Linked DNA regions of Schizosaccharomyces pombe. The gene in region 1 interacts genetically with each later gene. Each region holds a gene or a part of one and is shown on either strand. Other genes may lie near its edges. The genes, in order: klp3, SPOM_SPBC1348.07, pfl9 and knk1.

What was found.
Region 2: mutations in klp3 (region 1) and SPOM_SPBC1348.07 together harm fitness less than expected from each alone (positive genetic interaction), as found in Schizosaccharomyces pombe (one large-scale study listed by BioGRID).
Region 3: mutations in klp3 (region 1) and pfl9 together harm fitness more than expected from each alone (negative genetic interaction), as found in Schizosaccharomyces pombe (one large-scale study listed by BioGRID).
Region 4: mutations in klp3 (region 1) and knk1 together harm fitness more than expected from each alone (negative genetic interaction), as found in Schizosaccharomyces pombe (one large-scale study listed by BioGRID).

What each region holds. Positions count from the first base shown.
Region 1 is NC_003424.3:4,703,791-4,710,607, forward strand, and holds klp3 (kinesin-like protein Klp3), read left to right. Parts: upstream 1-2,987; 5' UTR 2,988-3,124; coding exon 3,125-3,235; exon of another isoform or gene 3,236-3,288; coding exon 3,289-3,388; exon of another isoform or gene 3,389-3,596; coding exon 3,597-3,670; exon of another isoform or gene 3,671-3,715; coding exon 3,716-3,869; exon of another isoform or gene 3,870-3,942; coding exon 3,943-5,168; 3' UTR 5,169-5,462; downstream 5,463-6,817. Other genes in the region: mannosyltransferase complex subunit Alg9, read left to right, coding at 1-531; mo25 family protein Pmo25, read right to left, coding at 1,000-1,434, 1,520-1,972, 2,028-2,129; phosphorelay sensor kinase Mak1, read left to right, coding at 6,180-6,248, 6,349-6,817. UniProt on the Schizosaccharomyces pombe protein: Cytoplasmic motor that could play a role in Golgi membrane recycling.
Region 2 is NC_003423.3:17,334-22,505, forward strand, and holds SPOM_SPBC1348.07 (uncharacterized protein), read left to right. Parts: upstream 1-2,307; coding exon 2,308-2,725; intron 2,726-2,775; coding exon 2,776-3,050; 3' UTR 3,051-3,273; downstream 3,274-5,172. Other genes in the region: SPOM_SPBC1348.08C (glycoprotein), read right to left, coding at 4,946-5,172.
Region 3 is NC_003424.3:5,525,308-5,530,964, forward strand, and holds pfl9 (DIPSY family glycoprotein), read left to right. Parts: upstream 1-2,384; coding exon 2,385-3,365; 3' UTR 3,366-3,652; downstream 3,653-5,657. Other genes in the region: SPOM_SPAC186.02C (hydroxyacid dehydrogenase), read right to left, coding at 4,655-5,653. UniProt on the Schizosaccharomyces pombe protein: May be involved in agglutination during conjugation or other aspects of colony formation. Induces flocculation when overexpressed.
Region 4 is NC_003423.3:678,721-686,064, forward strand, and holds knk1 (AAA family ATPase), read right to left. Parts: upstream 3,947-7,344; 5' UTR 3,907-3,946; coding exon 2,551-3,906; intron 2,519-2,550; exon of another isoform or gene 2,503-2,518; coding exon 2,094-2,502; intron 2,047-2,093; coding exon 1,829-2,046; 3' UTR 1,183-1,828; downstream 1-1,182. Other genes in the region: AP-1 adaptor complex beta subunit Apl2, read right to left, coding at 1-914; decaprenyl diphosphate synthase subunit Dps1, read left to right, coding at 5,423-6,397, 6,479-6,640.

The DNA.
Region 1 (6,817 bases):
CCTATGATAATTTATCCAGCCATAAGCTTTTTGGAAACAGATAACAACGTGACTACTAATGTTTGTGTTGGTAAAGAATGGTATAGGTACCCTTCTACTTTCTTTTTACCAGATAATTCACGCCTAAAATTTGTAAAGAGTGAGTTTGACGGTATTTTACCCGGTGAATTCGTTGAATCTAATTCAACATGGTGGAACCGTGAAGGCTACTATCAGATCCCTGAACACATGAATGAATTCAATAATGAAGAGCCAACTCGTTATACTTCTCTTGAGTCTTGCGATTTTTTAATAGATTTAGAGTTTGATCATTCGAAGGCCACAGTCAACGAACCGATATATTCAAAGTCTGACGGTTGGATTCCAGTCATGGTGTACCCTTTCATTGACACGAAACAAACTCCTTTTATGGGCAGAGCTTTTGCTGTCCCCTTTATTGAGCCTAAATGGGGCCGATATGAGATATTGGTGAAAAAGCCGGTCAAGATTGATTTTTCAAATTTGCGTCGTGCCTCTAAACAACAAGCTTAAAATTTTTAAGAGAGTGTATGTAAGCCTTTCTTAGGTTGTTATTACTAAAAATTGTAAAAGTCTTTGCAAGCATATGTCCAAAGCTTTAAATTCTCTAAGAAGAAAGAAAAGGCTGTGGAAACTCAATTACATAGAAAAAATGCGAAGTTATTTTACATTTGATTTTCCAATTTGTCAGATATTTAATTAATAATTAGTGTCAAATAATCTATCTAAACGGTTGACTTGGCGATGTCAGACAATCTTAGGAAGTCTTAGTACATGAAATAATAAAGTTCTTTTATTCATGGAATCGGTTAGCAATTAACCTAATGCTAATATCTAAAGCATCCGTATCTCATGCATCAAATATTTCAACTCGCATATATCATTTAATAAATCTAATCTACAATTTTTTTTCCTTTGTAAATATAGGATGGACAACAGCATGATTTTGAAAGACATGAGCACATTGGTGAGTAACAAGAGTCATAAGCGTTCAATCTGTTTTATTACAAATGCGCGTTCATCATTAAACTGCTCATCATTTTTCCGGTCAGTATGAAAAGCTGACAAGTAAGAAATCAACTTTGATTTGTTCCTCCTTAATATTTCGATTACTTCTTCCGACTTTTCAGGATTAGCAACAAACAATTTAAAAACATGAAAAGCTTCAAATTGAATGTTTTTACTCTTATCTCTCAGCAGAATCATCATTAGTTTCAGATTCTCAGCAGAACTAATATAGCGTGTCATGACTGAACGGTTAGCACGATTAAGAAGAATTTCCCCTAAAAGCTTTAAAGATTGACGTTTGGTAACATAATTTTCAGATTTCAAAAGGACAGTGTATTGCTTAAAAAACTCGTCAAAATGGTATGAAATAAACTCAGCAACTTGGGATTTATGATTAAGAAGAATAGACTGATTAAAGTTAGTAAATGCAAAACTAGCGGGAGTATATAAAAACATTGCAACGACAGAAGTTTTATTTGGGGATAATACGTACCTTAAAAGTCGAAAACGCATCACTCGCCATATCAAAACTAGAGGCTTGTATCAAACTAAAAAATGTCCAAAAATCTCGTGAGTTTAAAAGTACCTCATTAAGGGCTTCATGACGGGAACACTCACGAAGGATAGAACCAGCAGTAAAAGCTACTTCCTGGTATCGATAGTATGAGACCAATACTGGAAAGATTTGCGGGTGCGCAAGCATGTAGTCAACAGTGGGATATCTCGATGCTACATGCCTCCTAAGTAAAGCGCTAAATATTAGTCCTGTATCCTTTTTAGACTCAAACTCCAATTTCGGTAAATATCGAACGAGTAAAAAAGGTAAATTCGACTGGTAAATTTGAAAAGATAAGTCTGATACGAGATCAGCATCAGGCTCTACTTCAGCTGTCCCACACAATGAAACCCGTAAATTCTGTAAACATTTGGAAACTTCCTCAAAGGACTGTTTACGTTAGTCATCTAAACGAACAAAAACAACAATTACTAATAATTAATACCTTCTTTTTATCATTGTTTATTTCCAACTTTGGGAGATTATCACATAAGCAGCGAACAACATCTTGGGTTGATTTTGGTCGTTTATTGAACAGAAACGACATGCGGAATTATGGAATTCGGTTTCTCTAAAAACTTATGGCATATGACAGGGTAAGTAAAGTGGGTGCCAGGCGATGGTCCACAGTGGGGGTCTATTTTCATATTCAGTTGAATACTATTAAGGTACACTTCTTGAGTATTCAAATTACCTTTACTTATACCTGAAGTGATACCAATGTGGGGGTTGTTACATCTCGATTATACATAAGTAATCAAGTATTGAAACGCAGGTGCATTTAGATGATAGCAAGTGTACTAAGTAGATCTATTTATGAATTATGCATTTTCCATACCTTTTTCTCTTCGGTAAATGAATTGGTAGGTTGGTATAGCTAGTAGAAATACAAAGTAGTAAAACAAACGTTTTTTAATGCTAATGTTTGAAATAGTATCTGGGATAAACTTGTAAATTGCAAATACATCCAAATCTCCATATAAACTTCACAATTTAAAAAAATTATTTAATTTAAAAAAAAAAATAAATAAATACCTGCGAGGTTTCTCGTTCTTACCATTTAATCAAATTTTCATAAATAAATATGTGAGAAATTGCAATCCAATTTTCGTCACAGATATTAATCAGACGAAGGGTAAAATACTCTGCTTAAAATATGAATCAAGATTGAACAATCTTAAGAATTTTATACATGTGTAAATCTTCAAATAATATCAGGAAAAAAAGAATATGTAGAAGGAAGTAAACAATTTTAGCCTGTTGATTTGTAAATTTATTTTTTTTAATTCACACTTCGAGCTTTAACATTAAACAATTATGTAGTTAATTACATGATATTATTCTGTTTTTGATACGTTGCCTTAAACAACAATTATTGTAGAGGCACCATGTTAGGTTAACCTCGTCTTTCCCTGTATATGAAATTAGCCCGCTCACATATTGTCTTTAATGATTTTTTTGGATGTATGGATCTAATTTATATACTGCGTTTTAATCATACATTATTTGATTTTTTATCTTTTTATAAAGCAGTTTTACTCAATGACTTCAATTAAAGTAGTGTGCCGAATTCGGCCCACGAACCAGTTGGAACAAGACCTTGGAGGAAATAATGTGATATACCCATTAAACGATTCTACTGTTCATATCGAGGTAGGTTTCAACAATTGATCTTTACTTTAGAATTCGGCTGACATGATTAAAAGACTAGTGATTACTCAGGAAACTTTGTATTCGATCGTGTTTTTCATCCTTCTAGCACTCAGAATGATATATTTTCGTATTCAATTGAATCGACAGTCGATGGTATGTGAATGATAGTAAAACTTTACACGGCGTTGAACGGATTAATTTCATCGTTGTCAGCAACAGCTTGTATGAAATTATAGCATAGCCTTTTTTTATATGCGCTCGTTTTGACGCTTCATTTGAAACGAATTGCCATTTTAATACATTGTTCGAATCACATTCAAGTTGTTCTGAATTTCATTAAATATGTACTAATATATTATAGACTTATTCTTGGGTTATAACGGAACAGTACTAGCCTATGGACAGACAGGATCCGGCAAAACATACACCATGATGGTATATTCACAATTTCACCTGGCACACTTTTCTAACAATCTTTAGGGTATTGAAAATAATTTCGAAAAAGAAGGAATGACTCCAAGAATGCTCAGGCGTATTTTTGACAAAATCCGCGATTCACCATCTACTACTGAATACGAAGTGAAGGTATCATACATGGAAATCTACATGGAAAAAATTCATGATCTACTTTCCGGTAAGCCTTCAAATGCCGTAGAAATTTTGCGACGTTCGTATTTAATTTCAGCAAAATTAACCATGATTTACAGAAAAAAATGACAGACTGACGGTTCATGAAGATAAACTTCAGGGAGTTTATGTTCAAGGTTTAAAAACGATTTACGTATCAAGTGAAACGGAGGCATTGGATATTTTAAATAAAGGTATGGGGTCACGTGCCGTTGCAAGTACGTCGATGAATGCGCAAAGTTCACGGTCTCATTCTATTTTTGTACTCGAAGTTGTCCAAACGGACACTGAGTCCGGCGAAACTCGACGAGGCCGGTTGTTTTTAGTTGACTTGGCAGGTTCCGAAAGCGTAGGAAAAAGTGGAGCAGTCGGGCAAACCTTAGAAGAAGCAAAGAAAATAAACCGTTCTCTTTCAACTCTTGGAATGGTTATTAATTCTCTCACAGACAGCAAATTATCACATGTTCCTTATAGAGATTCCAAGTTAACGCGTATTTTAAAAGAGTCTCTTGGTGGAAATTCTCGGACCACTCTAATTATTAACTGTTCACCAGATTCATACAATGCAACAGAGACCTTATCTACTCTTAGGTTTGGACATCGTGCAAAGAGCATCAAAAACAAAGCGGTAGTAAACTCAGAACTTTCTGTTGATGAAATGAAAAGACAGCTGTATATTTATAAAGATGCTTTGTCTCGTTGCGTTTGTGGAGCCAGAATTAACAATAACTTAGACTATAATAATTGTCATTCTAACGTATGGTCAGGCGAGCATTCCCTCACACTGTCAAATCTCGCCGAAAAATCCAACTTAAAGGAAGCAGAAATCATTCAAGGAAATAGAACAATTCAGGAAAGTAATAATGACAGAGACGAAAGCACAGTTGCTTCGATACACAGACATAACTTTGATTCTGATTCTATCAATCGTTTGTATGCTGAAGCACAACTTGAACTTAAACAACGAGATGGTGTTTTATCATCCACTAAACAGCAATTGTCAGACCTTATGACTGCATTGGGCGATGCTCAGGAGCGGTATGTTGAGCTTGTTAAAAACCACAGAGTAAATTCAAATCTTACTGCAAACAACTCATTAAATGACAAACCGGGTTTTACAATAGAACAGAAAGATAAAAATTTTTCGATAAATAACGAGAGAAACAATTTTTTACAAAAACTGAGTACTTTGGATTCCTCACTGGCTGCTCTAGTAAATGTTCAACGAAAATTGATTAAAGCTTTAATTTCCAAAGAGCGACCTCAAAATGGAACAGTAATTAAGAAAATTCAAGGGGGCACTTAAAAGCTACACTTTTTTACTCTGCTTTGCGAAGGATTATATATGTTTAATTAATTTCTTTAGAGTTGTTGAGCTCACATTTAATCATGAAATATTGCATCTCGTCTAGCTGCTTTCTGAATAAACTAATTTTCTGACTAATTATTTATGCAGCTTCTTTTATATTGCTGCAGCATTATAATATAAAAGAAAACAGCTACGCAGCAATGCATTGTTTATATGCTTATTCAGCAAATGTGTAACATCTCAAATGATGATGTAATAACAATTCAATAAAAATTTACCGTTATAATATAATCAGCGAATTTAGTAATCTGAGACTACTATTCTTTAGCAAGGATTGACTATTGGCTAAGCAATCATTACCTTTTTTAAGCTACAACGAACTGTAGTTTAAGTGTTACTTGCGATGTATATAATCTTATGTAGGATGTTTATCGTAGATGGTAAAATGTTGTATCAATATAATTATGATATTGAATACACTAACATAACCACACATATATGGCTTATAACTGAAGTCAGGAAAGAAGGTTTGAATGTATCAACATAATGCATTGTTATAAAACTACTAGTATAGAAGATTTACACTAAGGATGGAAATACGGAGAATCATGAATATTATGAAAAGTTGAACTAACGCAGCACAGTATAGTGTAGTGACTTGTTTCTAACAGAACGATCATATTTACTAGCCACCAATCTTCGCTAAACAACATTTACGCGATCTTCAATATCCATTTACATTTTGCTAACACAACTTGTTGAGTTGTTTCATTTCCCTATTTCGAACACTTTTTACCAATCTTCAGTGCTGTAAAGTCGCTAGGAAAAAAGCGTTTTAAATGGTACGCTTATAATTTCCATTGCTGGTTGCCGTGGTCAAATAACTCAAATACATCAGTTTTTTATTTGAAACGATCTTTATAAGATAGCACTTTCTTTTTGGTAATTACAGTTGGAAACTTTGTTTTATTTAGTATCTATACTGGCCTGTAAATTTAGTCTAAAAAAATGAGGCCACCTGACGATCAAATCAACAATAACGTTGGTTCTAATTCTCACTTGGAAAAGTTGAAAGAGGTAAGTGATTTCAATACTTGGATTCTCCTTTTTTAAATATGAAATAAAATGTGATATCTCTTGTTACTTAATTAATTTAAATTACTAACGTTTGAATAAGGCCATGGACCACCAGCTGCAAAAATCATCAAAAATTGTAGGATCGTTTACTAATTCTCAAAACTCTTCTGTTGGCTCTGTTCATTCTCCGATACTTGAATCTCCCACCAGTTTAAATAGGCAGCATCGAAATTCATTTTCTTTCAATAATGTATCTTCTCCTTCACTAGAGGATGAGCGACTTATTAATTTTCCCCGAGTAAATCCAAATCGATTGATGACATCCAAACGTCCCAATGAGTTATTTAAAACCTCCTCAATGAGTTCAGATTGCTATTCTCCTCAAAAATCTAGGGAATCACTAAATTCATTATGCCATTCACCTGCTCCATCCGTTTCTTCTTGTGGAAATGCTTTGAACAACGATAATACTTCTGCTTCGCACTCACTAACTGATGAGCAACCATTTGAAACAGATTCATCCGCTAACTTATTTAAGCAGTTACAGGAGAAGCGTAACCGTACCATTG
Region 2 (5,172 bases), on another chromosome or scaffold:
AACTGGAAAACATTAATTAAAGAGATTCTCGGTTGTAGATAGTTGTAATTGTTTCTGTTTCTGTTCTGAAAACTTGTTAATATAGTAATCCCCCACTCTTTTTCCATATTTAGTCTTTGAAGAAAGCGAAGCAATTCTTATACTACTCGTCTTTAACGAGTTGCATATATACCGCCCTATTTTTTTGCAGTTTCCTTTAAAAAATCTCATTAGAATGTTTCAATGCATACTTAATAAATCAATTTTATCAAATGCTTTGTTGTGAATATATTCTTAAAACTCATTCATTTCTTGTAAAGAAATCTTTCTTTATATGAAATTTGAAATATTCGAAATTTCATCTTTATAACTAGGTATTTCTCAATACTTTTACATAAATTAAGAAGGGAAAAAATTTGGGTTTCCTTTTTAAATCAGTTAGAGGCGAAACCTCTAACGCTTTTCATGGCTTCGTGTTAAATGTGTAATTATTTTTAAGAAGAAATACACACAATTAACAGATGTTGCATAACATTACTTTAGATTTGAATTTCACCTCTTAGATATCATCCATTCACATGTCAAGTAGGTGCAGTTTGTGGTTAACATATATTATTACATCTGTATTTAACAAAGTCTAGAGCAAAGAAGATATTTTCAAAATGCTGGAAGGAGAAATTTAGAATGTATGACTTACCTTGTGAAACCCTAGTATATTACGTTTTCGTAGTAAAACTAGTGGCAGGTGAAATTTTAGAGTAGTTTGTTGACGAATGTTTGTTTCAATTTTATCGCTTAAAAATTAAATTTGTTTTAGATTCATCTATTTTCATTATAATTTTTCTTTTTTGTAACATTATTCAAGTAAGGTTATGTGTATCAAAACAATAACTTCTGACTAACTACTCGAATAACAACCAAGTATTCCACTATGATTTTTAATGATGAGCCAATATTCAAGATTGATATAATTTCCAAGAGATGTTTACAAATTCCAGTTTATAATTCCCTTACGCTTTTCTTCCTCTGTATCTCTTGAAAGCCCGTTCTACTGCATTTGCTAAAAATGCAATAAATGTATGAAAGTTAAACTCAATAATCAAAGTCTTTATGTAGTATTACAGTTATGAATTATTGCGACATTTCATCTTCAGCCTTACTCAAAATCTGAAGGATTCAACATATGGCAATTTATTTGTTTTTATCATGGGAAGCACTAACGATGAAAACATCAATAGACCATAAATCATCATTTCTATATGAAAATGTAATATAATTTCTAATACAGGAATTCCTTCTTATACATTTATTTGTAACATTGCTTCATGCTTTTTTCCCTTTCATTTTCAGTTTTCTTTTGTTCCCAAATCCCAGAGCCATAATTTAAAGAAAATATGAACTGGCTAAGCGGAACCAAAGTTTTCAGTACAATTGATCTAAAAGAGTTAGTCCGATGTATAGACTTAGTCGTTGATTCCTATTCTTTACTTTTTCGCAAGAGAATAAAATTTAGGTAGCGAACGATGTTGTAATTACATACGAATATAAATTTTTCAACGAGATTTTTTTTTATTTTTATTTTTATTTTTACAATTTTAACACAAACAAATCTATAGTCTTCCATTTCTTTTTATTTACTTTCGCAAATACTCACACCTTAAACATGATTTTTCGTGTCAACTATACTTAACTATATGCTTTATAATGCTGCTACGTAGTTAGGTTGTTCATGTTTATAGCTATTGTATGCGTACGATGTTTTCAACTATTATTTTATAAAATCAGCATACTATAGATCGAGTTTGATTGTACTACCATACATTATTATCATTATCAATGTGTCGTTAATAATCCTGTATACTTGCAACCGTGATGATGAACAATCCAACATAATTATTTACACACAAATCATAAGAACATGATTTTCATTGCAATTTATGGTATCCTTAACACTATTTACAGACTTTGAAGGGAACCGTATATTAATGCAAACTAAACCAACTTCGTTATATAGGAATTGCGATAAAAAAAGTTTGTAAGTATTACAAGATATTCACATCATAATGTTTTTCCCAAATAAATGAAACATCTCAGAACGTAAAACATTCACCAATTTTGATCTTTTTTTAATTCTTTCGTTTATGGCTTTAAAATGTTTTATTATATTTTCTTATTATCTTCCATAAACCACACTGTTTAATTTTACATTGTAAAACATTACTAGTGGTGCTAAAGCTATCAAATTGCAGTGCTGTGGTTTTATTCCAATGTCAAATCCAGAAAGCGCAAAAAAACAGGTTGACCCCCCCTGGTTACAATGAGTTATTTATGGTAAGAGATACTCGTAATGTGGACCTGGAGCGGGGACTTGAATTGTGTAAGCCTGAAAAGGTAAACAAACAAAATCTCTTTACCAACATCGTCAAGCCTCAAAAAGATAAAATAAACATTAAGACAGATAAAATAAAGTTCTTTTTAAATAACCTTTTTACTGAATTTTCTAAATTTCATGATAGTTGTTATCCTGATGGTAGGATTTCTACCCGCAGTAAACTTCGTTGGCCCTTGCTTATTATTTGGTGTATTTTGATTGTTTTCGCAATAGACAAGAACTTTGAAGTCAAAGATTTTCTTTCAATTTGGATAAATGAAAGTTTTATAAATGAAAATCGGTTTTACAGTGAAATTTGGGGGCCTATTGCTATTTACATTTGTTTGTTTATTTTATTGTTGCTTGGTTTAATTTGTATGTTTCCTTTACAGTGATGCCTTTTTTTTACTAATAATTTAAAATAGACTGCTCCAAGATTGTTGTAAAAGCTATACCATTGATCAGTATAGTTATAGCAGCGGTCGTAGTAATTATCGCGGTGGCTATGGTTAAAATTTTATACATCTGCCATTGGCTGATCTACAAAATTTTAATTTTGGCTTTCGGCATAAAAGTTAAGCCATTGGGAGACACTCTTCCTACACATAATGGAGAAACAGGATCACATTCAAAGGCAACAGTTGGTTCTGACATTGAACAAATAGAATTTCAAAATATGCCCACTCCTGTGAAAAAATAATTTTCTTTATCGTTTTATGATCGAAAAGAATATAATCATCCTTACCAATATTTTACTGACTGTACCGTCCTAATCATGCACTAAAGGTGCGTCTGTTATGAATTTCAATTATGGAGTCAACCTAATTACGGTTTTTAATGAAGTATTATCACTTGATGTTACTAATGTTTTATCTTTCGTTTCAAGTTTAATCAAATACTATGAATGTCATTTACTGCGTCACAAAATGAATTCTTAATGATACATCATGAATGACTCGTTTTTAAAGTTATGTCTGAAAACTTGAAAAATGCAGCATATGGAAATTGTTAGATCGATTGATTCATTAGCTCAATAAATTCTTAAATTGCAAATTATATTCTGGCAGCAAAAAATCGAGTTATTCAGAGTCTTTCAAAAACTCTGTTTACGTATTGACATACACATTAGACTTAGCTTTTCAACAATATACTGCTGCTACAAAAAAATAATTTTCCTTTTTGGACCGGCTCGTTGCAGACGAAATTTTAATGTACTACCTCTTGACCTTAATCGTAAACGATAACTAAAAGGTATTTTTAGCTCGCCATATTCAATAACTGCCCTTTGAGCGTAATAAGTGAACAAAGGATTTAAGAATAACGATTTAAAATCTTTTTTAGTTTTGTTTTTGAAATAAAATAGTAATAAAATATTAATTGAAACTTAAACATCTAACATATTAGCTACTAATTCATCTTTTACTAAACTATAAGAAAAACTTTTGACTTTCAAAAACATATTTTTAATAGTTGTTGAATAAATGCTATTCAATTTACCTCGCCATTTTCCCAATAATTTTATGCGGTTGAAATCAATAAAATACATGCAAAGCTTCCTACATGTAAACTTATTATTATACTAAACGGGAAATCAAAAACAATAAATCGAGTTCAAGTTGACTTTCAAATATCACAAAACTCCATTTCATCCACTTTATTCCCAAATCAAACGATATACCCACCACGAGATCGCATTTGAGGTATTACTACTAGTTGACTAGGTGTAATGTTCAGCTGCATGTTCTTGCATCCATTGTGTCACATTCAATTCGGTTGGCAGGTATATACTATCGACTATAGTATTATTCGGTCCTATTGCAGATACATTCAAGGTGAAGTCACCTAATACTGGAGCACGGTCATAAAGTGTCCAAGTATCCGGAGATAATGAATTATCCCAATTAGCCAAAGCGTTTAGTGAGGCAATAGAAAAGGATATCAGTAAGTTTCATTTTGTAGAAGGTGATTAGAAATATTGTTGATGTGTTTAACAAAATGAGTAGTTTCGGCTGTATAAGGTTCACGTTAAGTCAATTTATAACATTGTATTCCACAAAAAAATAAAAAATAAGTGAGGCATTTTTGCACCTGGAAGTAGAAATCTATAACATATGATGCTTTTTGTACAACCCCTGGAATGTGTATTCCTTTGCGTAATACTACTTGCAGTACAGTAGAATTTTTAAGGTAGAGCAAGAGGAAGATGATGCTCGCTAAATGCTACTGAAAAAACGGGTGGGTTCATTTGATTTTCGAAGCGCAAAGATGCCCACTATACCTCGCTATTTATTGAACGAACATATATATATATATATATATAAACGGTTGCTAGTTTACAGAAATAAAATTATTTTCAGTAACCCATGATATGTGTTGCGTTAAAATAACAAAAATTAAAAAATTAAAAAATTAAATACTAGCCAACCCTATATTAAGAAAATGTATATATATTGCAGATCATTTGTATCATCTCAGCAAATAACTTACGGTCCCACACACCTTAAATCTGAATGCATTCTTGACCTTTGACATATTAGAAATCCGATTCGTAGCTCAAGTACCGATTTAATTATTTTCTGAAATTTTCAAACAATTTTACGACAATTTTTCCGTTGGCCCGTTTACACCGCCATTACCTTGACCAAATGGTAAGAATTGTTGAGTGCATGTTTTCGTGTAAGAATAAGAGGTAGTAGCAAGTGGACCCGTTGAATCAGAAGTAAAGTAAAAATCAAATCCACCGATATATGCTCCATTTGCTACAACAAATCTAACGGGCAAAAAGTAGCCTTCAGGATAATTGCCTACAGTGAAATTTCCCA
Region 3 (5,657 bases), 820 kb from region 1:
TTTTTAATAGTGTCAAACCAAGTTTGCTCACCCGAGGGTGTTCTGTGGGAATCTGCTTTGTTTTTTAATAGATTATATAGTTTGGTTTGTAAGGGTTTATGAACGCTAAACAATATACCGTTTGTACCTAGCGGGTAGGTATCACACGCCGTTCCCGTGGGTCCAGATGACAGAAGTGACGGGACTGCTAAATATAGCGGATCGTTTTTTAACGATGAACCTTTTTCTTATCCGAATTTCGAGCTAAACAGCTAGGTATTAGGATTTAGTGAAGTTTCAATCTTTGGACGTACTTTAACGGGAACACAATTGAATTATGGATTACAGTGGGATACTTAAGTTCAAGCTTTGAGAAAACGAGGAAAGGCGTTAATCCTTTGTATTGACAATAAGAAGTGATGCTCAAGAAATAAGTTTTAATGCTAAGTTGATTGAACTGGTCAATTAATATTTGATAAATTTTTTCAATCTTATTGTAATTTGATGCATTAAGGTTCGTATAAACAGCTTTTCGATAGTTTGTGAAATAAAATGCAGAAGTACTCAGTAGTCTGTTACAGAATTTATGTTTTTGGTGTTATTTGAAGACAAAACCTTAATGGATTCGTTTTATACCTGTAAATATACTATCCAATTCTATCAAACGTACTTAAAAACAAATACCGATTCATAGAATTTGTTACGATGAAATATTTCTAATAATAGTATACTAATTGCAAATAATTTACCAGGTCCAAAGTCATTGATCTGGACTATATTGACATTCCAAATATTAATAGTATGTCTTAGCGTATATAAAAATTAAGAAGACTTCAACGCTAAGTATGGATTCAGCTCTTTATTTTGTTATAAAAAAATAACTCAATGCTAAACAATAAAATAGCCGAGCAGTTTTCAATTAAGAATTGTCTAGCGAAATTTCATTAAACAACCTAAATCATATGGAGTTTTTTTCTTTTTTGATATTTGGCTCAGGCAAAGAAGAAAAGTTAAGAGTGGTATTTCTTAATAAATTAATGTCTCAAAAAAGGAATAAATTTTTTTTTTAAAATGCTAAATTTTAAACGTCCTCAGTTGCATAGATGAACTTTAAATGATAAGCGAACGAAATGCAATCGATAAATCATTGTCTCTTAGTAAAGTGTTCGGTTAAAATGACTGACATTTCGTCCGAAATAATATCAGTGTAAATATCATGGGAAAATTTCGTGTATTTCTTTATTTGGAATGCGCAGCAAAGTATCAAGAGAATAATTAGTGTTTTATATGATTTAATTTTATTGCCGGTACAATTGTATGGTTGTTCTGATAAATATACATGCTTTGTCGGTTTATCACTCTGAATAAATTTGTGATATATATTGGTTTATTTATTCAATCTATGTATCATGTAGTTGATGCTTTCATTTTTTTCATAATTTTAAAAATATCAGTTAATCATTTATTCAGCAACTGTAACGTTAAATCATTAATATATATATCTATATCGGCATGCATTAAGTTGCTACCGTTAAACATCTTAATTAAAACTAGTCTTTTATAATAACTAACTCTTTAATTTTTTGAAATTAGTTCAATTTACTGTGGAGGGCAGTCGATTGATAAAAGCTTTTCGATTCACTTGTAGCTTTAATCGGTGCTCGTTGCATCAATATTGGTTTATATAAGCCAAAGCTTTCATGGCTATTAATGAGTGATGCCGGTTTAACTACTCTAAAATGTTTTGAAAATGATAGGTATGTTTTGATTTGCTTCATCTTTTTATTTCAGTATTAACAACCTAGTAATTAAAATGTTAACAAAAAAATTTGACTACCTTTTCGAATCACATGTTTTCAGTGCTAAGTTGCCTCCAGACTGTCTGCAGTGAGTATAGGTGTTTTATAAGAAATTTGCTACATAGTATCAAATCAATAATATGAATGTAGTTTTATCAAAAAAATATTCATTAAGGCGACTGTACTGAAAGAGAAGTAGGTTAATAATAGACTCTTAAGAAAATTAACGAGAGGCGTCAATTTCTGTTGCTAGCATATATTGCGAACTCGATCGGTATGTGAATTACTACGAAAACATGCGAGCCGCGTTAACAAATGTGCATTGCCTTGTCTTAAAGTAACTAAGTTTCTCAGAAGCAGTATAAATAGTAGACTACATTAATTTCGAAGTTCCGATAATGATCTTTTTATAGAACTCAAATTTTTTAATTTGATATTGAGAATTCGAATAAAAATAACTATGGGATTAACAATAAGGGGGTTTCCGAAATTTTGGGTACTGGTTTTATATGCGCAGTTTTTGTATAAATGAACAGGCCTTCTCACACGTCTTTTCGGTTCATATTTAGCGATCAGAAGTCGTTAAAAATTTTTCTCCTATAAACAATGAATGTGGTGAAGTACATAATTTTTAGCTTTGCTCTGGCGCCTTTGTTATTAGTTAACGCGAACACATATAATTTTACACAGATACAAAAGCGAAGCGTAAACCAAGCTGTTCTTGAATCAAGTCAAGATACCAATTCAGTAGGCGGTGAAGCTTCTTCAACAGCTTGCCCTTTATTCACTACTATTTACACTAATGGTATAACACCGGGAACTACAACGATTTATCCAACATCTATCTCGACATCTGGCGTATCTAGCAACAATATCGATGAAACTTCGGTATCCTCTGAGTCTATCATCACATCCACTATTACGACTACTATAACATCTGGTTCGCAACTCTATACTACTACCATTACCGGTCAAAACACACCTGTTGATACCGTTGAAGTGGTAATCCCTACTGCTGGTACTTTCACAACTACATTGACTTCTGGATCCAGTTATCCTGTCGCAACAACTACAGTGCGAACAGCTTCTGGAACACAGTCAGGTGAAGTGGAGGTTATCACACCGTCCTGTGGATGCAGTCCTGAAAATTCATTCCATCTTAAAATAGACAATGATAAAATCAGCCCTTCCTACGTGTACATGGATCCAAACGCACCCGTGAGAACTAATGGTGCCGGTCGAGAGGGGAATATGTTTGCTTCAACTAATGGAGACAACGAGGGACTAAACCTTTTCTACTATGATTCCACTATTCAACGAGTATTAACATGTGATTGTCAAAGACCGTCTTACACTGTATACATTGAAGATCCAATTATAGGCAATGGTTTTTCAAGTGCTTGGAATCTCATTAAAAATAGCGATGGCATATTTACTCCTGTTGAATCAAGAAATAATGAGCCACTACACTTTCATGTAGATAACAATGGAAGAGTATGGATGACTTCACAAGAATATGATACAGAAGTTTCATCAACCGACGAAAGAAATTTTAGGGCCAATGATGTTACACTTCAACTGTATTAGTTGAAGCAGCAAATTTAGAATTGCACATACTCTCGTTTAATTTTTTGTATTTCAGGTCATACATATAATTTTTTTTACATTCATTTGATATAATATTTTAAAATTACAATCCATGAAATCCTTTATCAATCCCTATTGAAGATGTCAAGAAGTTGACTTCCTCGGATTTCATATTTTTCTCAAGTTCTGCTGTAAACTGAAAATAGGGATATTTAAATAGTTCTTAATTATTTTTTCCACTAGAAATTGATTGCTCTACTAATAAAATACTGTTCCAAGTTATCGGCACAATTATTACTTTCGTAAACAAAATTTGTATTTTATTTATTTTTTTTTTTTTTAAATTAATCATAACTAGTGGTATTAGGAATGCATATTTTAATCTAAGTTCAAATTAATTGCTTTCATAGTAATCATTGATATTTGTTAAATAACTAGGTTTAGGTAAACCGTACTAAAATTGAACAGGAAAGGATAAATTTTAGTAAATTTTGTAGATTATGCTTTTCGTAAAAAATAGTGGTGGCCGGTTTTAAAGATAAGTTTGGATAAACTGGTTATAATTTCCTTAAGTGAAATTTAATCACTTAAAAAAATATTAGATCTAAATAGTAACTATAGACAAGTTTTGTATAAGGAAAATGACAATTAAAGATAAGGAGCTAGACTAGTCTAGCGCTTGTTTTGAGTTTAATATTAGACCATTCAGAATTTTTTTACTCATTATTACTAAAAAAGAAAACTTAAGCAAGAATTTAAATTGTGGAAAGTCTCTTTTACTTATTAATAATTGTAAGCAATAAGGATAAGAAAATCAAAACAGTTTTTTTTAAAAATGTTTCTAAATTTAAAAAAAAATCTAAACCATATGCTGCGTTGCCTGTAAATAGTGTATCTAGGTCGGATGAGATTATTGTTTTCAACTTTATTTCTTCGTTTTGTAAGAAATGAACTATATTGTTGTAGAAATAGAATAACGTTACTAATCTCTTGAATATGGGTTAAAAAACAAAATTCACAATAATTAGAAAATTTTTTACCTTTTTATAGTTTTACCCAATTATTTACTAAAAATTATTGTAGCAACTATTTTAAATAGTAAATGGTGGATTTTCTATCAAGCAGTAGGTAAATTATTGCAGCATAATACTGAACAAAAGTTTTCATTTCATTTTCAAGTACTCACGAAATTTTTATTGAATTGAAAGAAAACTATTTTGTATATGAAAGGCGCTAAAAAATTATATCTTCATTATCACTTTTGATTCAAGAGACTAATACTAATTTGCTTATTTATTTGCGATTACTGATTCATCAAGACTATTAGTATAGAAATCGGACGCACTCTTCAATGTGGTATGTGCAATGGAACAGAGAGCTTCTGTAGTAAAAAACGCCTGATGTGAGGTAACCAAAACGTTTGGAAAATTAACAAGACGTTGAAACGTAGAATCCTTTATTACTTCGTTAGAAAGATCCTTATAAAATAAGTTTCTTTCACCTTCATATACATCTATTGCACAACCTCCGACTTGGCCGGAGTCGATGGCGTCAACCAACGCTTTCGTATCAATTAAACCTCCTCTACTAGTGTTCACAATTGTTACTCCCTTTTTCATTAAAGCTAGGGAGTCAGAATTCACAATGTGCGTTGTACTGGGCGTTAATGGGCAATGGAGGCATAAAAAGTCAGCCTTCTTTAAAACCTCATTTTGCTCAACAAATTGAACTCCATAGTTTTCTAACTTCTTATCCGGATTGATATCGTAAGCTAATACATCGCAACCAAAACCCATTTTAAAACATTTTGCAACATTACTCCCGATTTTCCCAGTACCAATCACTCCCACTGTTTTACCATGTATGTCACATCCAAGTAGTCCGACAATATTGAAGTCATCTTCACGCACCCGAACATAGGCACGATGAATTTTACGATTAAGAGACAAGAGTAAACCAACAGTGAATTCAGACACAGCAAAAGGCGAATAGGAGGGGACGTGCACAACAGTTATTTTATATTCGGACGCTGCCTTTAGATTAACGTTGTTGTACCCCCCACAACGAAGAGCGACCAACTTAACACCATTTTCTGCCAAAGCTTTTAAAGTATCAGCATCTACTTGGTCGTTCACAAACACACACACCACCTGTGCTTTGCCTGCCAAAGAAACTGTATCTTTGTTCAATGAAAAATTGTGATATATTATTTCATGGTTAAAAGTTTTGTTAGCTTCTTCAAAAGGCCCTCTATCGTATGATTGACTACTAAAAAGGACAACACGCATTGTT
Region 4 (7,344 bases), on another chromosome or scaffold:
AAGGCTACATACTGGATTTCTGAGTCCGTAGAAAGTAGCGTCAAAAGAGGAGGAGCCATTTTTTTGTACAGAAAGTCTGTAAAGTCACTGGAAAAGAGAGGGATATGTACCATTATGACTTTCACAGCGGACAAAACGACACCACTATTTGCATGTTGGAATTGAGGAACCACCCTTTCACAAACATATTCAGCTTCCTTGATATCAGAAGTGCGAAATCTAGCTAAAGAATTCAAAATAGTAATCCGACCCCACTCATTACACTCACTCAAAGCAACCATTAGCCTGTCTGTCATCGTGTAAACTACATTAAAATATCCCTTTTCAGGGTCCTGATCATGAATTTCAGCAAGTGAGCGGACTGCATTAGCCACAACCACAGGATTCGGATCAGATACCAACGCCTGCAATTGTTCGATGAAACCATTTGATGCACAGTATTCTCGATCAAGGTCATACATCTTTACAACACAAACCGCTGCAGCCTTACGAACATAGGGATGCTCATCCTTCAAAGCTTTTCGCAACGGATCTGCCAAATAGCCAATGATTTTATTTACCCGAATGCAACCCATAGTTCTAATTGCCAGAGCTCGTAAAGTAGGATTATATTCCTCAGAATCCTTTACAAAAGTATTAACGGCTAAAATACAAAGATCAGGGTGTGTTTTGGCATAGTTAATTAGATATAAATAAACCAGTTTTTTCAAGGTGATATCGCGAGTAGCTAGGTTCTTTAAAACATCGGGAAACAGACTAGACACATCCTTGCCAACAGTCATTGCGGCAATAGTCCGTTTCACAGCATCAATTCTCTCGTAGGCATACTGAGAAACTAGTCCCTTTTGTAATTCACTTGTTTCGCTTTTTTTAAATGCCTTAAAACGGCTCGATTGAAACAACTTTGGAACCATTCGGTACTATTGTATAATTCCGCTCTTTATGTAGCTCTTTTAAAGGTGGTAAACGTCCTAAGGTCAAAAACACGTTTACATATATAAAGCAGTGGTTCAATAATCATGTCAAGTCAAACCCATTCGGTGAGAAACACCCACTCCCAGAAGTAACAAAGGTGACAATATCGAATACTGAAATCCAATTTCTATATATTCATGATTTCATTTTCAACCTGCAATGCTTTAAACGCTACTATTATGACCTTTAAATAAATTTTAAAACATTTAATTCAGTATACAAACAAGAGGTTGAAATGTTATTTCAATAAAAGCTATAAGTTAATTGCCGTAAAAATGCGATTCAAGTAAAGCAATACCCTTTTCCAAACATTAAATAACTAATAATTATTGTTCAAAATTGGAGAATAGTGAAGGGAAAAAAAGTAGCCCAATAGGTTGAGGCTGTATGTAAACGAAATAAATATGACGATAAATGGAAAAAATAAAATAAAGAGAATTGATGGAAAATACAAAAGGGGAGCATTTGTAAAAGGCGCTGTCAAGTCGGCTATGATTTAAAATGTCGTTTATAGCGATAGTCAAATCACGAATACATTTTAGTTGTTGTAGGAAAGACGAAAATAAAATGAAGGTAAACAGAAATTAAAATTCGTAATAAGCCAAGTTTATGCAAAAGAAAGTTATTGAAACCACATGAAAATCAGCATCCACGATTCAATCCCTAAATGCACGGTAATTCTCATAATATCCAGAAAAACGATACCCAAATGATTCGTTAAGAAACATTAAAGGATAAAATTAAAAAGAGAGAAAGGAAGTTTGAATAAATTAAAGGATACCCTGCCTTTTTGATGCAAAAGAATATATGATTTCTTGAAAATATTAAAGGTAGAATACTCTACAAAGTTGTTTTAACGTTGCGAACCAAATTGTTTATTCCACTCTTCGTAACGATGAATACCCTCTTGTGAGACACTTGGACGAATAGTACGAAGGCTAGCTTTAAAATGATTCAAGCTGATCGGAGGTATCATCTCTGCACTGGTGGTAAGTAGAGCATCACCCAAGTTTCTTAAAGGACCCATTGCTGCGTCTTTGGCTAAAGCAGTGATATCAGAGCCTGAATAACCTAGATGGCGTTAGTTAACTAACCAATCGAATTATTTATATACATACCTTCGGTAAGATTGACAAGTTCTTCCAGATCCTCCTCCGTCAAACAGTGTACTTGATTATGAAGCAAATGAGAAAGATGTTTATATCTTGTTTCTTTTTCAGGTAACGGAATATAGGTTCTTTTAACGAATCGGCGTCGAGCAGCCTCATCAATACACCACGGAAGATTTGTAGCTGCCAGCACCAAAACACGGGGAGAGTGACCAGTTTGCTTGTCCGGAGCCGCATTAGTTAACGAAGACCATTGAATTAAAAATTCTGTTTTTAATCTACGAGAGCTCTCGTGCTCATTACCGCTGTCATTACGAGCGGAAAGAATGGAATCAATTTCATCAACAAAGATAACGCTACATGTCTGGCGCTTCGCAACTTCAAAAAGGGCTCGAACCAACTTTTCAGAATCACCAAGCTAAATCAAGGTTAGTTAAGAATGGGGTTAAATATAAAACTTGCTTACATATTTCGAGGTTAATGATGAAGCCGAAATCGAAAAAAATGTGGCTTTCGCTTCGGTCGCAACAGCACGAGCAAGCATGGTTTTGCCGGTGCCAGGGGGGCCAAAAAGAAGCATGCCTTGTACGGGTTCACGCAATCCTTGGAAAAGTTCCGGGCGTAAAAACGGATAAATGACTGCCTCTTTCAAGGAATTTTTAGCGTCATCTAATCCGGCAATGTCCGACCAGTAGACAGGTTCATGGTTAGAAATAATTTCATTCATAATAGCATATTCAAAATCACTTGAAGGAGTGGTCTGTTGAAGAGGTTCAGTTTGTTGAGTAGTACTAGCTGAGATAGTTTTTGACACAATTGTCTTAGAATCAGCGGTTGCCGGAGGAGATGTAGCAGGTGATCCGGCTGTGTCAGCGGAAGACGGTCGAGTGGAAGAACCAAGGGTATCATGAGAAGAGTTTAAGTATGGTTTATATGGGCTAGGATGCTTGCGCGATTTTCCATCGCTGGATGAATGCGATGCAGACGTAAGGGGGACGGCAGGAACATGGAGTGGAGGAATTGGCGCATGGAAGGAGAGGGGAGTGCTATTGTTAGCATTTTGATTGTTTGACACCTGAATAGAAGGGCTAGATACCGAATTGGAAAGCGTCGGTTTAGTCGTAGACTGACTTTTCATAGCGGTAGGAAAAGTGGTGGAATTCATGGTAGCAGAACGACCTGTATCAGAAGAAAGAGCAGAAGCAGAAGCGGCAGCACTCTTAGAAGCAGCAGCAATGGCCGAAGCAGAAGAATTGAAAGAGGCAAAGGGATCTTCGGGTTTGAGGGGTGGAGAACGGTTTGGCTTAGAGGGTGCCAGATAAGAAGGTGCATCTCCATAGGAAGAAGAAACAATGGATGAAGTGGAGGTAGAAGGAGGCGAATGCTTGGAATATATTTGCTTAGGCGTAGATAAATTTACCTCCGACTGCGCACCTCTCGTCTGTCTGTACATCATCCTAGTAGTCATGGGGGTATACGCAGGTGTTTGAGATCTTACTGGACGTAAGGGGTGAAGATCAACGGGCGCCTTCTTTGAAAGTTTGGCTGCAAGTTGATAATTTTGCCTTTCCATTTCACTTTCCAAAATCGTCTTACGCAGCTTGCTTGCCTTGCTCAAACAGTTGTCATAGAGCCCGTTCCAAGAACATGCCTCTGCGCCCGTCAAAGGTCCCAATCCCATGCGATCGCGAGCTGCCGACGACTTCTTCATCTCCTCTAAAACCTTGCAGTAACTCACATACGCACCAGCCCAATCCCTATTTCCTTCACACAATAATGCTCTTGATGCTATCGGTAGTATTCTATCCAAGTCTGAGTCCATTTTCCGCAGTCGACTCGTCAATGGCTTTTTTGCTTTTGGCAAGTTCAAATGTCAAAAGTGCTGTCTTGTCGTTAAAAATCCCATAGAATGTTCGAAGTAACGCTGTTACTTTTCAGCCACTGGTTTTCTTTCATCTCTTCAAAAGCTATTTGATAAGGAATTCGTATTGGAGAAAATCATTTTATTCATAGATTCAATAGATGAGTAAATATCTTTCTTTCACACTCTTTTTTTTTTCCCGCTAATTCGCAAATCCGGAAATTTGTTTACAACAAAAAACGTATTATTAACGATATTAATCATTTCATCGCTATGCTAGTAGTGTGGATTAGAGAGCACTTTAAAATCGAGCGCCTTCGACTGGCTGAAAAACAGAAGCCAAGCGGTTTTCGATGAGAACAAATTTGCGAAAATTTAAGTATCTTTTGATATACCTACAAATTCTAAAAAAAATTTCTCTAGTTGAACTTAACGCTCAAATAGAGCTTTTTTTAAGAATACTTGAGGCCCGGGAGATGTAAACAGATCAGCTATGTCTGAAAGGAACGGGATGGCACTTAATGTTGATAAATTTTTTATTTTTTAAATTCTTGAAGTGAATGGTGAAAAAAGTCGGGCGCCTAATCGTTAAAAGCCTTCAAAAGTCAAAATGTGATAAAACAAATATGAATGTAACGTTTTGTACTACAATGACAATAATCTTAGCAGGCGAATCGTTTTGTAGACTAGAAAAGTACGTAATTTATTTTTATTAAATGATCCTACAAATACTAAAACTTGTAAAAATGCTTTTAAGCAATTTCTGATCAATTAAAATTTCACGCATGTCAAACCATTTAGAAATGTTTATGTTGTTAAAGCAGTGTTACAAAGCTATTAAAATACCTAAAAAATATCAACAATGTATTCGTAAATTCCTAGAACCAATAATTGTTCAAGTAAGATGAGAAACTCTTGGAAGATCAACACATATAGAGGATTCCCTGAAGCTGTTATATTAACTTCGCCAAAAAAAAATTAGTTGTAGTATAAGATTCATTTACTTATCTAAATATTCTGCTTTTGAGTATTCAACCAAGTAGCACTTCTCCCATCGAATATTGAAGCAATTTGGAAGTATAAATTGTTTTGATTATTGTGTCGTATAAAAAATGATACACGGGAGAGATGCATATGCAAATAGATCTGTGAATTTTATTGTTAACTGATTTGATGTATAAGCTGTTGTAAGTTTTGATAATGAATTTGGCCTCTGAGGAAGATGCTCAATATCCTGCTTGACTCAACAGAATTCTTCAGAAAAAATACTTAAGATCAGAATGGTATGAAGAAAAAACGATAATTAAAAAATGTTTTGTTTGTTTACAAACTATTTAATGATTCTTCCGTTCTTTGAAATAAACTTATCTGATCAAAGCGACGTCATATCTAAGCGAAATCACGGTAAATACCATGATATACAAACCATCCCAACTCTAACTTCATCATTTAGTTACTTTTGAAAATAAGAAATGAAATGATTCAGTATGTATATTTAAAACATATGAGGAAATTATGGAGTCTTGGAAAAGTCCGTTCGACTGTTCTTCGGTTTTCTACTACGAACCGCAATGCTTCACATTTAATTAAAAACGAGTTGGAACAAATCTCACCAGGGATTCGTCAAATGCTGAATTCAAATTCAGAATTTCTTGAAGAGTGTTCTAAATATTATACCATTGCTCAAGGAAAACAAATGCGTCCTTCTCTTGTTTTGCTGATGTCCAAAGCTACAAGCTTGTGCCATGGTATTGATCGGTCCGTAGTGGGCGACAAATATATTGATGATGATGATTTAAGATCATTTTCGACGGGTCAAATTCTTCCTTCTCAATTGAGATTAGCACAAATAACCGAGATGATCCATATAGCAAGTTTGCTGCATGACGATGTGATTGATCACGCTAATGTCCGTAGAGGCTCACCTTCAAGCAATGTTGCTTTCGGTAATCGACGGTCAATCCTTGCGGGTAATTTCATCCTTGCACGGGCTTCGACTGCTATGGCCCGCCTTCGAAATCCCCAAGTTACGGAGTTGTTAGCTACAGTGATAGCAGACTTGGTTCGAGGTGAGTTTTTGCAGCTAAAAAATACTATGGATCCTTCATCTTTGGAAATAAAACAATCAAATTTTGACTATTATATTGAAAAAAGTTTTTTGAAAACAGCCAGTTTAATTTCCAAAAGCTGCAAGGCTTCTACAATCCTCGGACAATGTTCTCCTACTGTAGCAACAGCTGCTGGAGAATACGGTCGATGCATTGGTACTGCTTTTCAACTAATGGATGACGTGTTGGACTATACGTCGAAAGATGATACTTTAGGAAAGGCGGCTGGTGCAGATTTGAAGCTAGGGTTGGCTACAGCTCCCGTCCTCTTTGCATGGAAAAAGTATCCAGAACTTGGTGCAATGATTGTGAATAGATTCAATCATCCTTCTGATATCCAACGGGTAAGAGAAGCTGAAGTTTTATTTATTTATTTGATTTCCTTTTCTCTATCGTTAATTTTCAATTGCTAACATATAATTTAGGCTCGTTCTTTGGTTGAGTGCACTGATGCTATCGAGCAAACCATCACTTGGGCAAAAGAATATATCAAAAAAGCCAAAGATTCCCTTCTGTGTCTCCCTGATTCACCTGCAAGGAAGGCACTTTTTGCGTTGGCTGATAAAGTAATAACGAGAAAGAAGTGACGAGTTTAGTACGCTGCATCTTTAACTATTAGATAAAGGCCTCTTTTTCTTATTCTCGAAAAATTTAAAACAATTAGGTTTAATTATATATACGACTTTGGTAGACCGAGTTGAATTACCGCTCTTAATAGAGCAGTGAAAATATTACTAATATGCGCTGCCTTGATTGGTTTTTCTTCCATAAATGATTTCAGGTTATTACAAAGTGAACGACAACTGCCAACGAATGCAATGATTTTATAACGACATTGCAAGCCACTAATGATACTGTCTATAAAAATTGGACTTCAATAAATAAACCAAGCACTTCGTAATAACTATTCTTGACTAGTGTTATAGTCTTTGTGATCTCGCTGCTCAAATGTCAGATGCTGATTTTGGCTCCAATTTTCTGTTTACGTTATAACAACTATCATGTAAGTTTGTCCATTACTTATATCTGGTGAAAAAGGCTGCATAACTATGGTAATACTTTTTGTCAGATCTAAAATTAGGAATCAGATTTTATCCGGTAGCTTGCTGTGCTTTCCCTGGACTGCAAAATTATTTTCACCTGTATTCTTTTACTATACCTTTTTGATAGCCTATAAACGTTGAGCGTTGAGCTTTTAAACTTACCAAAACTACAGGGCCTTCCTTCTTTCCCCAATGCTCGAATGAACTTTCGTTAGTATCAACGTTTCCTTTTGTTTAGTACCCCTATA